Kluyveromyces lactis: one gene and its partners. The protein of the gene in region 1 interacts with the protein of each later gene in a pairwise test. Links are inferred from orthologs where the notes say so. Each region holds a gene or a part of one and is shown in the gene's direction. Other genes may lie near its edges.

What was found.
Region 2: the proteins of GET3 (region 1) and NYV1 interact in binary tests that used the Saccharomyces cerevisiae proteins (3 or more experiments, as listed by UniProt). The link is inferred for Kluyveromyces lactis from reciprocal best matches to the Saccharomyces cerevisiae genes GET3 and NYV1.
Region 3: the proteins of GET3 (region 1) and TLG2 interact in a two-hybrid assay, tested with the Saccharomyces cerevisiae proteins (2 studies listed by BioGRID). The link is inferred for Kluyveromyces lactis from reciprocal best matches to the Saccharomyces cerevisiae genes GET3 and TLG2.
Region 4: the proteins of GET3 (region 1) and PEP12 interact in binary tests that used the Saccharomyces cerevisiae proteins (3 or more experiments, as listed by UniProt). The link is inferred for Kluyveromyces lactis from reciprocal best matches to the Saccharomyces cerevisiae genes GET3 and PEP12.
Region 5: the proteins of GET3 (region 1) and GEF1 interact in binary tests that used the Saccharomyces cerevisiae proteins (3 or more experiments, as listed by UniProt). The link is inferred for Kluyveromyces lactis from reciprocal best matches to the Saccharomyces cerevisiae genes GET3 and GEF1.

What each region holds. Positions count from the first base shown.
Region 1 is NC_006041.1:143,491-146,318, forward strand, and holds GET3 (guanine nucleotide exchange factor GET3), read left to right. Parts: upstream 1-1,276; coding exon 1,277-2,326; downstream 2,327-2,828. Other genes in the region: BUG1 (Bug1p), read right to left, coding at 1-723; ATG16 (Atg16p), read right to left, coding at 2,779-2,828. UniProt on the Saccharomyces cerevisiae protein: ATPase required for the post-translational delivery of tail-anchored (TA) proteins to the endoplasmic reticulum. Recognizes and selectively binds the transmembrane domain of TA proteins in the cytosol.
Region 2 is NC_006042.1:1,799,048-1,801,620, reverse strand, and holds NYV1 (Nyv1p), read left to right. Parts: upstream 1-1,354; coding exon 1,355-2,050; downstream 2,051-2,573. Other genes in the region: KLLA0_F19470g (uncharacterized protein), read left to right, coding at 1-921; DPB4 (DNA polymerase epsilon noncatalytic subunit), read right to left, coding at 2,157-2,573. UniProt on the Saccharomyces cerevisiae protein: Vacuolar v-SNARE required for docking. Only involved in homotypic vacuole fusion.
Region 3 is NC_006037.1:927,175-930,176, forward strand, and holds TLG2 (t-SNARE syntaxin TLG2), read left to right. Parts: upstream 1-1,388; coding exon 1,389-2,483; downstream 2,484-3,002. Other genes in the region: ATP-dependent RNA helicase FAL1, read right to left, coding at 1-1,081; KLLA0_A10703g (uncharacterized protein), read right to left, coding at 2,703-3,002. UniProt on the Saccharomyces cerevisiae protein: t-SNARE that functions in transport from the endosome to the late Golgi and on the endocytic pathway.
Region 4 is NC_006041.1:1,942,522-1,945,280, forward strand, and holds PEP12 (SNAP receptor PEP12), read left to right. Parts: upstream 1-1,411; coding exon 1,412-2,239; downstream 2,240-2,759. Other genes in the region: BIG1 (Big1p), read left to right, coding at 272-1,130; iron-sulfur cluster assembly protein CIA1, read right to left, coding at 2,344-2,759. UniProt on the Saccharomyces cerevisiae protein: Plays a role in the sorting and targeting of vacuolar proteases.
Region 5 is NC_006041.1:2,006,776-2,010,848, reverse strand, and holds GEF1 (Gef1p), read left to right. Parts: upstream 1-1,291; coding exon 1,292-3,562; downstream 3,563-4,073. Other genes in the region: RNA binding protein SNU13, read right to left, coding at 307-687; ribosome biogenesis protein URB2, read right to left, coding at 3,612-4,073. UniProt on the Saccharomyces cerevisiae protein: Anion/proton exchange transporter involved in iron and copper cation homeostasis. Involved in intracellular iron metabolism during growth on fermentable and non fermentable carbon sources.

The sequences.
Region 1 (2,828 bases):
CTGAGCGGACAGCAATTGTACAGTTTTATCATTGAGTTGAGATTTCATGATGTTTATCTGTTCTTCAAGCTCTTCTATGGAGCTTTCTTGATCTATGTTGACAAACTTCAATTGCTTTACTTGATCTTTTAGCTTTGAAACTTCTTCCTTGAGGTTTATTACTTCATCTTGGCTTTTCTGTTCTTGTATCGTCGAAAGGAAATCTTTCTCTTTATCATCATTCCCGCCAAACAATTCTTCAACTTCATCTGTACTTTTTGCCTCTATTGGTTCTTCCTCTTTTTGTTGAACTGCAAAAGCTTCTTTAGACACTTCCTCGGTTGGGTTGGGTATATCAGTTGCTTCCTTCTCGAGGACTTCCTCCTCGGAGTCTTTCTTGTTCTCCGCAGACTCTTTTTCAGACTTCTCCACAGACTCCTTTTCAAACTTCTCTTCGTTGTTGTCATTGCCCTTTGCATCAGCATTTATCTCAGCCTTTTCTTCAGCTTTTGTCTCTTCCACGATTGGTTGTTCATCTGAATGAACCGGACTCTCTGATACATTAGTATCAGTCGGTTCCAATTCAGTTTCAGTTTCAGTTTTGACTTCAGCTGCTTCAAGATCTTCCTTGTCCTTCTTCTTCTTATTCTTCTTGTTTTTATTCTTCTTCTTTAACTCTTCAACCCTTATCTTGGCTTCTTCGAGCTTTCTGGCTCTTTCTTCCTCGGGGGATAGTTCAGACATAATCAACTGTTCGAATGTGTGTACTCACTTGCATTGAAGACGCCAATTGGTTTTAATATTTAGCTCGCAATTGTTTCAGATTTGGCATTCACCATGTAAATTCTTATTTCATATGGGGCAACTTTTTTTTTTGATCTAAACGTGTCGTTATGGTTCACACATATTTAATAAGAAAGGAATCACCATCATTGAGGCAAACATCGATCAAATAATATCGTTTAATTTCACAATGTTTCAAAGCCATTTAGGTTCGAAAGAGAACAAGATTCAAGACTTTTTGAGAAGCAAACTCAAAGTATTTGTACCATGTTCTTTATTATTCGGTATGCGATTGGTAAATATCAAATTATTATCACCACCGTATATAGTGACGTGTTCTTTAAAAGAACGTAGAAGAAGTCTTCAGCAAGATATTTAGCATTTGTTGTCACTTTTAGTGGCGACATGCGTAGATAAACAGAAGTTTTACAACTAAGACGCCCTCTTATTTCAACTGTAGGAATAACAATCAGTAAGTGTGTAAACCTGAGACCAAGTAAAGCGGAAAAGTACAATGGATTTAACAGTTGAACCAGATCTAAACTCTTTGATAACTTCCTCAACACACAGATGGATATTTGTCGGTGGTAAGGGTGGTGTCGGTAAGACGACGTCATCTTGTTCGATTGCCATTCAAATGGCTTTGGCACAACCAGAGAAACAATATCTATTGATTTCTACAGATCCTGCACACAATTTAAGCGACGCCTTCGGTGAGAAGTTTGGTAAAGATGCAAGAAAAGTCACTGGGATGAACAACTTGTCATGTATGGAGATTGACCCTTCTGCCGCTTTGAAGGATATGAATGATATGGCTGTTGCCAATAATGCAACTGGATCGGGAGAGTTCAGTGATCTTTTGCAAGGTGGTGCACTATCTGAATTGACAGGATCGATTCCAGGTATTGATGAGGCACTTTCTTTCATGGAAGTGATGAAACACATCAAAAACCAAGAACAGGGTGAAGGTGACAGGTATGATACCGTTATTTTTGATACCGCACCAACAGGTCACACTCTAAGGTTTTTACAGTTACCAAGCACTCTATCTAAACTCTTGGAGAAATTCGGAGAAATCACTGCAAGATTGGGACCAATGTTGAATTCTTTGGCTGGTGCCAATAACGTCGATCTTGTTGGTAAAATGAGTGAATTGAAGTCTAATGTGGAAAAAATCAAGGAACAATTCACCAATCCTGATATGACAACTTTTGTCTGTGTTTGTATCAGTGAGTTCTTGTCTTTGTACGAAACTGAAAGATTGGTACAGGAATTGATCTCATACGATATGGACGTGAACTCCATCATTGTAAACCAGTTATTATTTGCTGAGTATGACGAAGGAGACAGCTGTAAAAGGTGCCAATCCAGATGGAAGATGCAAAAGAAGTATTTGGACCAAATTGATGAATTGTACGAAGATTTCCATATCGTTAAGATGCCATTGTGTGCAGGTGAAATTAGAGGTTTAAACAACTTGAAAAAATTCTCCCAATTCTTGAGAAAACCATACGATCCAGTTGCAGACAGCAAAGTGATTTATGAATTGGAACAACAAGACTGAAAGGAAGATAAATATGAATCATTGATACCTAGCATTACACGGCCAATCTATAATTTTTTATTATTTGTACACTAAATAATTGCAGAGCAGATTCTAAATTGAATCATTGCATCGAATTAGCCTCTATAATGTAGCATTAAACATCTACTTTAGTTGCAACATGAAAACATTATTACTTCAGGCTTCGTGATAGTAAACGAAAAGATCCGAAAGCTAAAAAAATTTTGGTAAATTGAAATGCTCCAGGGGAGGTTCGAACTCTCGACCTTCAGATTATGAGACTGACGCTCTTCCGACTGAGCTACTGAAGCAAATTTCTTGGAAAACTGAATTTTTAAAGAGTTTCATGCACTTGGGATTTGATGTACCATTGAGTCGCAGGGAATTAACTTCAAATCACTTATAAAACTCGCAACTCATTTATAACTTGAGGCATATAGAGTATGTCATATCTATTTAAGTCTCGTATTCATGATATCGGCCTCTCTTTGTGCTTTTAGTA
Region 2 (2,573 bases), on another chromosome or scaffold:
CCATTTATTCCTTCAAGACCAGGTTTAAAAGAATGGAACGTGAAATACCCATGCTCCGTTTCCCATGCCAAGGATTTTGACTGTCCAGAAGATTTCCATGGTGTAGAAGGGGAGATTTTGATTGTTGGTAACAGTGCTTCTGGTGCAGACTTAGCATTTGAATTGGCTAACGAACTACAGAAGCCTATTTATAAGTCGAAGAGATCCGAATCCAAATTACCGGCCCCATTCGATCCTTTCATTAAAGATGTGCCTGATATTAGAGAGTTTAATCCGTCAACAAAATCGATTACCTTCGTTGACGGCACCGAATTAAAGAATGTGGAAAAAGTGATTTTCTGTACTGGTTACTTAAAGTCCCTACCATTTTTACCACAGAATGAATCTGGTGTCGGAAATTCCATTCTCAACAACTTAATTGGTGATGGTAGACGAGTACAAAACCTGTACAACCATATTCTTCCAATATCATTGCCAACATTCGGTATTATTGGCCTACCAAGGTTTGTTCTTCCTACAAGACTATCCGAGACCCAAGGTGCTTGGTTGAGCAGAGTATGGTCAGGAAGAATCCAACTTCCATCGGAGGAACTTCAACAGAAGTACCATGATTGGTTCATCGAGAAAAGTGGCGATGGAAGTAAGTATCATGATTTGGCATTCCCATGGGACGTCCAATACTCTCAACGATTAAATCGTGAGATTAGACATGCTGGTAATGGTGGTTATTTTGGTGTTGAATGGAAAGGAGATCAGATTAGAGCTAGGTCAGCCATCAACGCTATAAAAGAAGGATATGTCGCTTATTACAAAGCTACCGGTACAAAGGCCAAAACTCTGGATGAACTTTTGGAAAGTGGGTATCTCAAATGGCCAGAAGATTCTAAGTCCTGCGTACAAATTCCAACCTTTGTACCATAAGTTATCGAGGGTAAGTATAGTTCAATTATACTAATATCACAAAGGAACTTACGCATACATATTTGTCATTGGAATATGTCATTATCGACATTATCTTTGATAGATTTATAGACATGTCAAATAGATATAAATATGAATAATTCTGTACTTCAAAAGTGAATTAGGTATCAGCAGCTTCAATCAAAAATGAGAAGACTATTAAGTTATCACAACTATACCGTAGGCTTCAGCTGACATTTTTTCTTCTTTCTGCCGGAGGTAGAGATTTTGTCTCGGTTCTGATTCTGTTATGATATCCTTTGGAGAATGTTGAAAATATGAAAACTGACAAATTTCCATGTTTACCAGCTACATCTGGTAGAAGGGTTGCAAGGAAACTGTGAAAGGACTCTCAGGATTAATTGCCTGTTAGTAGTGGTGAATTATTACAACAATGAAGCGGTATAGTGTGTCATATGTTGAAGTTTGGGATGGAGATCGAGTTCTTTCTAGCTGGTACGACTCCAAGGACGAAAACAATAGTAAATATGGAAGCACTGATAAAGGGAGAGCCGATCAAAAAGCAGTGTTTCACAGGTTAATCGGCGATATGGTAATACGAACAGTGGTGAATCTTCCGGGAAACAAAGTTACAAAGACGTCTATCGACCTTATAGAGGGGTATGATTGCTATTATACAACTGCAGAGAACAATAAAGTGCTCATTTGTTTTGTTAAAGAAGAAGTCCCCAAATTCCTACCGTTGAGGTTATTATCAGAACTAAAATGTTTGAATAATGACAACGATGAATATTTGAAGAGTAATATCGATAATCAATTGGACAAATTCCATGAAGAATTATTATCTTATCGCACGGAAGGACAGCAGACAGCTGCATCCACTGAGGAAGAGCTACAAAACATTATTGCAATAATGAATGATAATATCGATAAGTTTTTACAGAGACAGGAAAGGATATCCCTGCTTGTGGATAATACTAATCAATTGAACGAAAATAGTTTTAAATTTCAAAGGAAATCCTCTAAGATTATGAGAAAAATGTGGTGGAATAACGTTAAGTTTTATTCCATTGTCATTATAGTTGTACTGGCGATTATTGTGATTGTGTCGTTATTATTACTACATTAGTTCTATTTTTTTTAAGTATAGGTAACCCATGAGCACACGAAAACGGTATAATTGTTTATAGTACTTATACTTCTTGCCACCTCTTCTCCACAAATCGATTATACGATCATTCCGTCTTCTGTTTTTTTGTGCTTAAATCCAGGTCGTTCTGGCGCGTGCTAGGTACTTGTTCTTGGTTGACTGGAGGCCCATCTAATTTATCATTTTCAGCGTTACCTTGTTGAACCTCAGTATCAGCTCTGGATTTAGGCTCGGCGTCAGCATCTGCGCCTTCTCTGCCATCGTCATCTTCATCATCTTCATCATCTTCCATTGCTATGTCTCCGTCCGCACCAGGCACAGCATTATTGACTTTATTTTGCTTCTTCCAAAGTATGGCTTCCTGGTACTCCTGCATCTTTCCCGTGAGTATGCTCTCCAAAGCACCTAGCCCCAACGTATCTAAAGCAGCCATGATATCCTGATCATTACAACTCTTTCTATTAGAATCCTTTGCGTTCATTCTAGCAAACATTAATAAGTG
Region 3 (3,002 bases), on another chromosome or scaffold:
TACGTCCAAACCGTCCGGATCTACCAATACGATGGATATAGTTCTCTAGATTATCTGGTATATCGTAGTTTATCACCAATGAGATCTGCTGGACATCGATACCACGAGCCCACACGTCTGTCGATATTAGCACCCTGGCTTTTCCACTCCTGAAATCATTCATCACTTGATCACGTTCTTCCTGTTTCATGTCACCGTGCATTGAGGACACAGAGAAATTCGTCTGTGTCAACTTCCTGGATAACCAATCCACTTTTTTCCTTGTATTACAGAATATCACACATTGTGTTATCGTTAACGAATCGTATAGATCACAGAGTGTATCAAACTTCCATTCTTCCTTTTCTACATCCACATAATATTGCTTTATCACGTCCAAGGATATCTCATCCCGCTTAACCAATATCTTCACCGGGTCACTCATGAACTTCTTGGTGATCTCTAATATATCTTTACTCATTGTAGCACTTACCACCACGACTTGAATCGTCGGTGGTAACTTGGTGAAAATGTCGTAGATTTGTTGTTTAAACCCCAAAGTTTCTCCGAGTAGTTCATCTGCTTCATCGAGAACTAAGATCTTACAGTTTCTAACGTTCAATACTTGTCTCTTGATCATATCTAGTACACGGCCCGGTGTACCACTGACCACTTGACAATTTTTCGATACTTTCTTGATATCTTGTTGTAAGGCCTTACCTCCTGTGCACGCATGTGCTGTAACGTTCAAATAGTCTCCTAGGTTAGATATCACAGATTCACTTTGACTCGCTAGTTCTCTTGTTGGTGATAAGACCAATGCTTGTAACTCTTTGCTCTTAGAATCAATTGCTTGTAATAATCCAATGGTAAATGTGGCCGTCTTACCGGTACCAGACTGTGCCTGGGCAATCACATCTTTTCCTGAGATAATCTGAGAAATGGCTCTAGACTGAATGGATGATGGATATTCAAAGCCGTAAAAATATATGCCTCGTAACAAATCCGGTTTCAAGTTCATCGACTCAAAAGTGGCAGATACCTTGAGCTTCTTTGAAGTCTTAAACTTCAACTTCGAGTCATCATCTCTGTTGAACGACATTGTTGATGTGATGATTCCCTTTCTTAACAACAGTAACTCCCGGTTACACTTCACTTGGACCTACCGTTGCAGCCTCTATTTCAATGCATCTCATCGCATCTCATCTTATCGTTGTGCTTGCCAAATTTTCCATTTTTTAAAGGTTTTAAGCTGAGAACCGAAAGTTCAACAACACTTTAAGGTGTCAAATTACAAGTGTATGTAAATAACTGCAGAACAACTGGTCGAGTGGCTCGATCTAGTGATTATTTAGATCAGATTAGTGGTAGTGCGTGCTTTCTTCCCTTGTTTGCTTTTGAACTGCACCATGTTTCGTGATAGAACTAATTTGTTTTTATCCTATAGGAGAACTTTCCCCCATCAGAGGCTTTCGAGTACCAAGCATCTACGATCGAATAAAGATTTGGAGAACCAGCCATTCATTGGTAGTGACGATGGTAACAATGATGAAGATATGGTTGCTATGGATGATTTCTCCCGTCAATTACCGCCAAAATTTTTCGATTTAACGTTCCAAGTGGATGAGTCGTTATCTGCAGTAGATCAATTGTTGCTACAGTTGACGAAACTATATCAAAAGAACTCTTTACCAGGATTCCAGGACAATAAGCAGGATGAGGAGGAGATTGAGCAGATAAGTTTCCAGGTAATTAAGAGATTCCAAGAATGTTTTGGTGTTATCAAGACTCTTACGAGAATTAAGGATTCTCAATATTCGAATGGTAAGCAGCTAAGCAAGGACGAGTTAAGGATATTGGATAACCTAGAAAAGAACTACGCTTTGAAAGTGCAAGACAAATCGCAGAAGTTCAGAATATTACAGAATAATCATTTGAAGTTTTTGAATAAAGATGATTTCAAACCACTACCCACTACGAAATCAAGTAACGATACATTGATGTTGTTGGAGGAAGAAGTTGAAGGAGATGAAGTCAATAACATCGACTCATATTCAAAGCAGACTTTACAAAAACAGAATCAGAAGTTACAGGATAACAATCAGCAATTTTTGCAACAAAGAGATGAGGAAATTACACAGTTAGCGAAAGGTGTACTCGAAGTTAGTACTATTTTCAGGGAAATGCAGTCTTTGATCATAGATCAAGGTACAGTGGTCGATAGGATCGATTATAACTTAGAAAACACGGTTATTGAATTAAAGCAGGCCCAAAAGGAGTTAGACAAGGCAACGCACTACCAAAAACGGAGTCAAAAATGTAAAATTATTCTATTTCTATCTTTGGTCGTTCTAGCGTTATTCCTCCTTGTCATGCTGAAACCTCATCACCATACTATACGAGAATCAGCTCCTTCAAAATCTCACAAACCTCCTGGATCACAAGTGGAGGTCAATTCTCCTAATGGAGACCCGTTGCTGGATCCAGAAAGTAATGTAGAATAAAAATGGTCAAATATTAATGAACTTGCTTATGATGGAGAAACTGCATCGAACTTCGAAAACAAATTTTGATATCGTGATAGAAGTAAACGACCACTGTCGAATTGGTAACAGTAGAAAGGTTCAAAAAAGTTAACTAGAGAGGAGGTCTATATATTATCTGTTACAGTAAATAGAATAAATTTGTTTAAAAAGTGAGTGGTTTCAGTATGAATATTACAATCAGAACTTAAAATGCTCCATAGGGACTGTCTCTTGACATGGATGCAGAGGTAGGTTATTTTTTCTTGGGAGCCTTTTCCTATAAGCAGGTTTATAGTGCATTGAAGATGCTGGTGCGGAGTTTAGCCCTGCACTCCTTTGGCTATTTCCGTATGATGCTGGACCAGTTCCGATGGAGAATTCAGGGTTTGATTGTAATAAGAAATCTGATGCAGACGGACCAGCCGAATACGGAGGTTGTGGTTGTTGTGGTTGTTGTTGCTGTACTGGTAGTGGCGGAGGGTGGTAGTATCCTTGTTG
Region 4 (2,759 bases), about 1.8 Mb from region 1:
ACTTACGATAGTATTCGGAAAAACGCTAAATATGTACGGATAGCAATGCAACCCAGCTTCATGACCATGAATGAATTAATAGTATTTGCCTTACTACTGACCCCGTTGTTAGCTGCAAGACAACAATCTGTTCCAGGGCTACTGTTCTCGTACAATCTGTAAGTTGATTTTAAAGAGTTATTAGCTTCCAAGCTTCCATGCGGTTTGTATAAACGCTAAAGGAACCGTGCATTGAAGACATATGATACTAACAGTTATTCGGAAATTTCAGAGCGCCGGGGATAGTAAAATACCAAGATAAGTATGACAATGCACAACTACCACAAGATGATTTTTTGAAAGTTGCCAAGGATTTGATCTCACAGTGTCATTCGGAGACATATGTATTTGTAAACCAACCAGGTTTAAGTCGAAGTGATTTCAAGCAGCATAAGCAATCTATGCACAAATTATACAACTATGTGCTAACTAGTTCCACGACAGTGAAATTCGAAAAGATTGATATAGTCCAAAACGATGATATTTACGAAGAATTGATCGCCTATACAATGGATAAATGTAATATTGATGATAAAATAGATATAGGTGGCAATGTCACAGACAGGTATCAACCATTTGTGGAGGCCCGAACTAGAGTTCTAAGGGTAGACTTCCCACCTTTACCGCAGCAAGGACAATACGTAGAGGGCATCGGGACCAGAAAAGATGTGTTGCAAGCCAATGATGAATACTTGAGATATGTTATGGGAACGTTACCAACCCCGAAACATACAGTTTTTTATATGTCTTTGGAAAAGAGTGAAGTGCCAGATACCGAGACATCTTTATCGTATGATATCTGGCCTGAAATATTTACGAATCCACAACGAAAGGTTGAGATCGACCGTAATGATAGAGTTGCTAAGGAAATGCCAAAACTTGTCCCTTACAGACCAAGAATTGATACTGAAGATGACAAGTACTTAACAGTACTGGATCAGGAATTCATAGATAATCACTACGGCATCATAGTGCTTATTATTGGCGTGACAATTGCATTTATTCTACTACAATTAGGAGCCGTTAAGGTCAAGAAACCGTCAAAGCCACAAATAACTAAGGACGTAACAAAGGAAAAAAAGACCCAATAATTCTTTATTCCTAGATTAGTGTTAAATATATTCAAGTAATCTGGTGAAATACTACTGAAGGTCTTAACGCGCACCTTCATTAAGCATCCTTCTCATCTTTCCTCATATAAATGTTTTTTGGTATATTTTTTTAAGGCTTGCATCAATTACAAAATTAGAACAATGAAGATAAAAGGTTAGTCTTCTACAAGCTTAGTCCAGAAATGAAGGAATCTGATACGCATTTTGCTGCTACCGCTTAGGTGAATTCAAGTGAACCTGCATTTGAACAGTATAGAAATATGTCAGATTCACCCAATGAAATTCTTCAATATAGGGATAGTCCTGAGTTCGAAGATTGCTGCGATGCTATATCTCAAGATTTATTTGAATTGAACGGGAGCCTTTCAACTATGAACCACTTTGTAACGGCTTTGGAAACGAATGTATCCCACGGTAAATCTAACACTAAAGTTATCGACAATATCAATAAGAAGACGGTTGAACTAATAGACAAAAGTACAAAATTAGTATCATCGATAAACGAGAATATTCATAAAGTTAATGAGTTAGAGGAGTCGGCTTTGGATAAGCCTCATTTGATCACAAGGGAGAAGTTGACTAGGGATGCGAAATTCTCTGTACAGGAATTCAAGAAATATCAACAACATTTTCTTGAAGTTACAAAGCGGATAAATGACATGGCCAAAGTGGCTTTGGAAGATGAAGAACAAAATAATTCCTTGATGGATACTGTTTTAAGAGAGGAAGAAGATGAACACGCAAAAAGAACACAGGTGGTTATAGAGCGAGAACCAATAAATAATGAGGAATTTGCATACCAGCAACATCTGATCAGGGAACGAGACCAAGAGATATCAAACATAGAACAAGGTATAACGGAATTAAATGGCATATTCAAGGACTTAGGTGGTTTAGTGCAACAGCAAGGGCAGCTAGTAGATAGCATTGAAGCTAATTTGTACAATGTAGAAGATAATACCAGAAATGCAGCAAATGAGTTATCTCGCGCTATGAGATCCGGACGCAGTTCAAGTAAGCTAAAACTACATTTCCTTTTCATACTATTGTTTTTCCTTCTTCTCACAATACTGGCTGTTTTCAGTTGAATGAATGGTATTCATGAGGCGTCATGGATGCCTCCATTTTATGTAATTTTTATGCAGGTTATACTAGGTTACAAATCAGATATTGATAAAGTCCGGCAAAGAAGCTAATTCTCATCGAATTTCCATACGTTAACATGACCGTCGTCACCAGCAGTTATCAATAAGATGACATCTTTAGAGCCATACTCTACCCATTTCACCATATTTGTTTCATAAACTCCGTGTGTTAATTCGTGAATGCACTCAACTATCCAGCCATCTTCCGATTCCTTGTATATAACTAGACGTCCGTCAGAACCGGTACTAGCAATATACCCCTTAGGACTCCAGTTAACACTGTAGACTGCCCTTGTATGAGCCTTCGGTAGAATTGATTCTTGGATCCATTCTTGCTCGTATTCTCCGTTATCATCTTCGAGACACCATATTCTGACGGTCCCATCATCGCTACCACTGCATAGCCTGACGTTGGAATTAGATTTCTCGAAATCTGAAGACCACACAGTCCCTTCATGCCCGT
Region 5 (4,073 bases), about 1.9 Mb from region 1:
AGGCCTGTAACCATTTCTTAATTTGAACAGACAAAAAAAAACTATGTACTGACCACTAACTAGAACCATCAGATGTTGATGTCATTGTTAAGAAGGATGCAAATGTATCAAAAAGTTGTATTAATTGTAATATATATGTTTAATATACAGAGGTCGTAAAAAAAAAATCTACCTGTCGATCACTTGAATCAATGAACGTGCAGTAAATCTTTTCTTTGCTATGCAAACCCCCCACAAAGCGGTTAACTCCTTAAACGATTGATATAAAGAATAAGAAAAGGAAATCACGAAATGTGCAAATCCTTCTTAAATCAACAAAGTTTCAATCTTGTCCTTAACGGCATAGATTTGGCTTTTGATAGCAGAAGCATCGTTAGTGGTAATAGAAGCAGCAATAACTGGTCTGGAAACACCACAAGCTCTACCCAAAGCAGTTCTGGATGGAACAAAGACGTATGGAACGTTCTTATCTTCACACAACAATGGCAAGTGCAACAAGATTTCAATAGGTTCACAGTCAGCAGCCATGATAATGAATTCGGAAATACCACGGTTCAAAGTCTTGGTAGCTTCGTTAGCACCCTTCTTCAATTGTCTCATGTTGGAAGCTTGTTGAACAACATCCAAGATTTGTTGGGACAAGGTGGCATCAGCCAATGGGAAAGCCTTTGGGTTTGGAGCAGACATTATTTCTTTATAATATGAAGTGAAGTATCCGATTGGGTCAGTTCAAGTTCCTTGCAAGAATGAAAAGCTCGCTTGAATCTGGTGTTTTAAGACTAGAAATAAGATCGGATCAAGTCCAAGTCTAAAAAAAGTTTTATCATAAAGTGAGATGAGATGGAACGAGATGAGATGAGGTTAGTCTCTTGAAATCATTTTCTTTAGTTTTTCAATTTTTGAAAATTTTCGAATTCCTCGACTGATGAGCAAAAAGAAACAAATGGGATCACAAACTGGTGTAATGTACGGCTGTTTCACTATATTAATTCAGAAGAACGATATACATTCCTCCTATTGTGATCATTTGGCCATTCTCCGCCATTGCTATAGTACTCTATTATGGTCTAAAACACGCAGTCTGTAGTTGTTGTTCCCCATCGTATGCTTCATACTTCCCCAGGAAGAGCTGCTTTCACTCTCAGTTCTTTACCTAATTTCAAAGGTGCATATTTCTTTGTATTGAAAAATGTACGTATTACAATATGTAAATTTATCAACTCATTTATGAATAAACTCATAGTATTGCCCTTGACTTAGGTATGACCCAATTGATGAGCAATAGCTAGCTATGACTGACCAAGAGGTAAATGAGGAGCAGGCTCTGCGAAATATACCAGAAGTCGGTAATTTCGATAAGTTCACTTCTGTGGATTGGATTGAGGAAGAGAAGCGTGAATTGTCCAAGGGAACATCGCATGACGAATTTGATATACCGCGTTCGAGTTGGTATGAGTACCGCAGGTTAATATGGAAAAGAGGTAGCAGTTTCATTACTTTGACTGCCATTGGGCTTTCCATTGGCGGTATTGCTGGTTTTTTACAAATATTCACTGAATTGTTAGTAAACTGGAAATCTGGACATTGTGCTAGAAATTGGTTGTTAAACAAGGCATTCTGCTGTCCTAAAGAAGAGATCAGTAAAAGGAGTTATGGTTCCATAATAAGTTCGGCTGGCAATGCCGCAGAAATATTCTTTAAAAGATCCCAAAGCGAATGTATCGAAAAAGGTATTTGGGTAGAAGCAACCAATCCAATCTTTTCATTTTTGCTATTCATGTTCTTATCGGTCACATTTGCAACTATTAGTTGTCTGATGGTCCTACACATTGCACCGTTTGCCACTGGATCTGGTATTTCAGAAATTAAATCCTGGGTATCAGGTTTCCAATATACCCCGGAGTTTTTGAATTTGAAGACCCTTATAGTAAAATCTGTCGCTTTACCGCTTGCCATTTCTTCTGATTTAAGTGTTGGTAAAGAGGGACCATCTGTTCACTATGCTACCTGTTGTGGTTATGTAATTACTAATTGGCTCTTGAGCAAGGAGATGGCCTTCCCAGAACAATCCGAATACTTGACAGCTTCGACGGCAGGTGGTGTTGCAGTAGCTTTTGGTGCACCTATTGGAGGTGTCTTATTTGCACTTGAAGAGATGTCAGCTTCTATTCCTTTCAAGTTATCTGCCTTGTGGAAGTCGTATTATATTGCTCTGGCAGGTATTTCTGCTCTACAATATATTGATCCATCTAGAAATGGTAAGATCGTTGTTTTTGAAGTCACCTATGATAGAGAATGGCATGTGGAAGAAATCCCAATATTCATCCTTCTTGGAATTTTTGGTGGTTTATATGGCAAATACATAAGCAGATGGAATGTGCATTACGTTTCTTTTAGAAAGAAATATCTCTCAAGATGGCCGTTACAGGAAGTTGTCATACTAACGTTTGTTACTGCCATTATCTCTTATTTCAACGAGTTCTTGAAACTTGACATGACAGAATCTATGGAAATTTTATTTCATGAGTGTCAAACTAATGAGAAAGGATCATTATGGTCGCATAGACTTTGTACAATTGACAACGAGGCCTCATTCATCTCGTTCATCAATTTATTGCTTTCGTTACTCTTTGCAACTGTAGTGCGAGCCCTGCTAATCGTTGCTTCGTACGGCTGTAGAGTACCTGCCGGAATTTTTGTTCCCTCAATGGCTGTTGGTGCAACTTTTGGAAGGGCTGTAAGTTTAATAGTAGAGCGTTATATTACTGGACCAAATGTCATTACACCGGGAACTTATGCTTTCCTTGGTGCAACTGCAGCATTAAGTGGTATAACAAATCTAACTCTAACAGTGGTGGTGATCATGTTTGAGGTCACGGGTGCATTTACGTATATTCTTCCTACCATGGTAGTTGTTGCTTTCACTAGAATTATCTGTTCCTCCTTTGGTGCCGAGGGAGGAATTGCTGACCAAATGATTATAGTTAATGGATTCCCATTGATGGAAGAGCAGAAAGGGGATCACGAATTCATGGATGACTTTTATGCAGATGACATCATGACGAAAGAACTAGTCTACGTGAATGAAAAAATGACTCGTCAAGATCTGCAAAATTTGATAGATGGACCAGCAGCCGAATTTAGCGGTCTTCCGATCACCAGCAGCTGTTCCAAAGGTGATTCGACATGCTCTGGCTTTATATTAACAAAGTACGCTCGCTATTTCTTAGATGCCACTACTGGATCTCCCGACGATATCATTGATTTCAGAAAATGTGGAGATGAATCGTTAACATCAAAAATCAATTATACCCCGATTACTGTTAGTCCGTCTACTCCGTTGAGTATACTTTTCATGATGTTCCAGAAATTGGGCTGCTCAACTATTATAGTAGAGAATGGCGGAACCATGGCCGGATTAGTCACTAAGAAAGATGTCTTGCATTTCATGAGAATTAAACATAAAGAATACTTTGGTCCTCTATATGCGTTTGATGATAGAATTGATAGGAAGGCAATACGACTAATTGAATGGTATATAGATAAATGTAGAAGAACATAACTTTATAAAATGATTAGGACTTTTCAATCATCATGCCATTTGCCACTTTTCAATCATCATGCCATTTGCCACTTTTCTTGTAGTCCGCATGTAATGTCTTGAAATATGATCTGCCGTTACTGTCCAAGCTAGCATTAAGCAAGTTCATTTCAGTCTGCGACAGAAGATCAAAAATAGCGTATACTGCGAGCATCAACTCTTTCTTTATCGTGGTGGGATATGGTTTTGAAACTGATAATTTGATGAATTGTAGAAGAACAACTGGCAGATTCTTTCTTAGCGATCTTTTAACATTAGAAACAGCCGAGGACAATGTCGTCTGCTTACTGCTTCTCACATTTGCAGGCTCACAATAGTTACATATGAATCTTGATACTGCTTTCGCTGATTCAACCGATAGAGCGTATTGCTTAGCATCTGATAGTAACTCCAGTAATTGGCAGATAACAATGTTGATCAAATGAGTACGATTGGATAACTTATAACGATGAAATAATAGCAATGAAGAGAG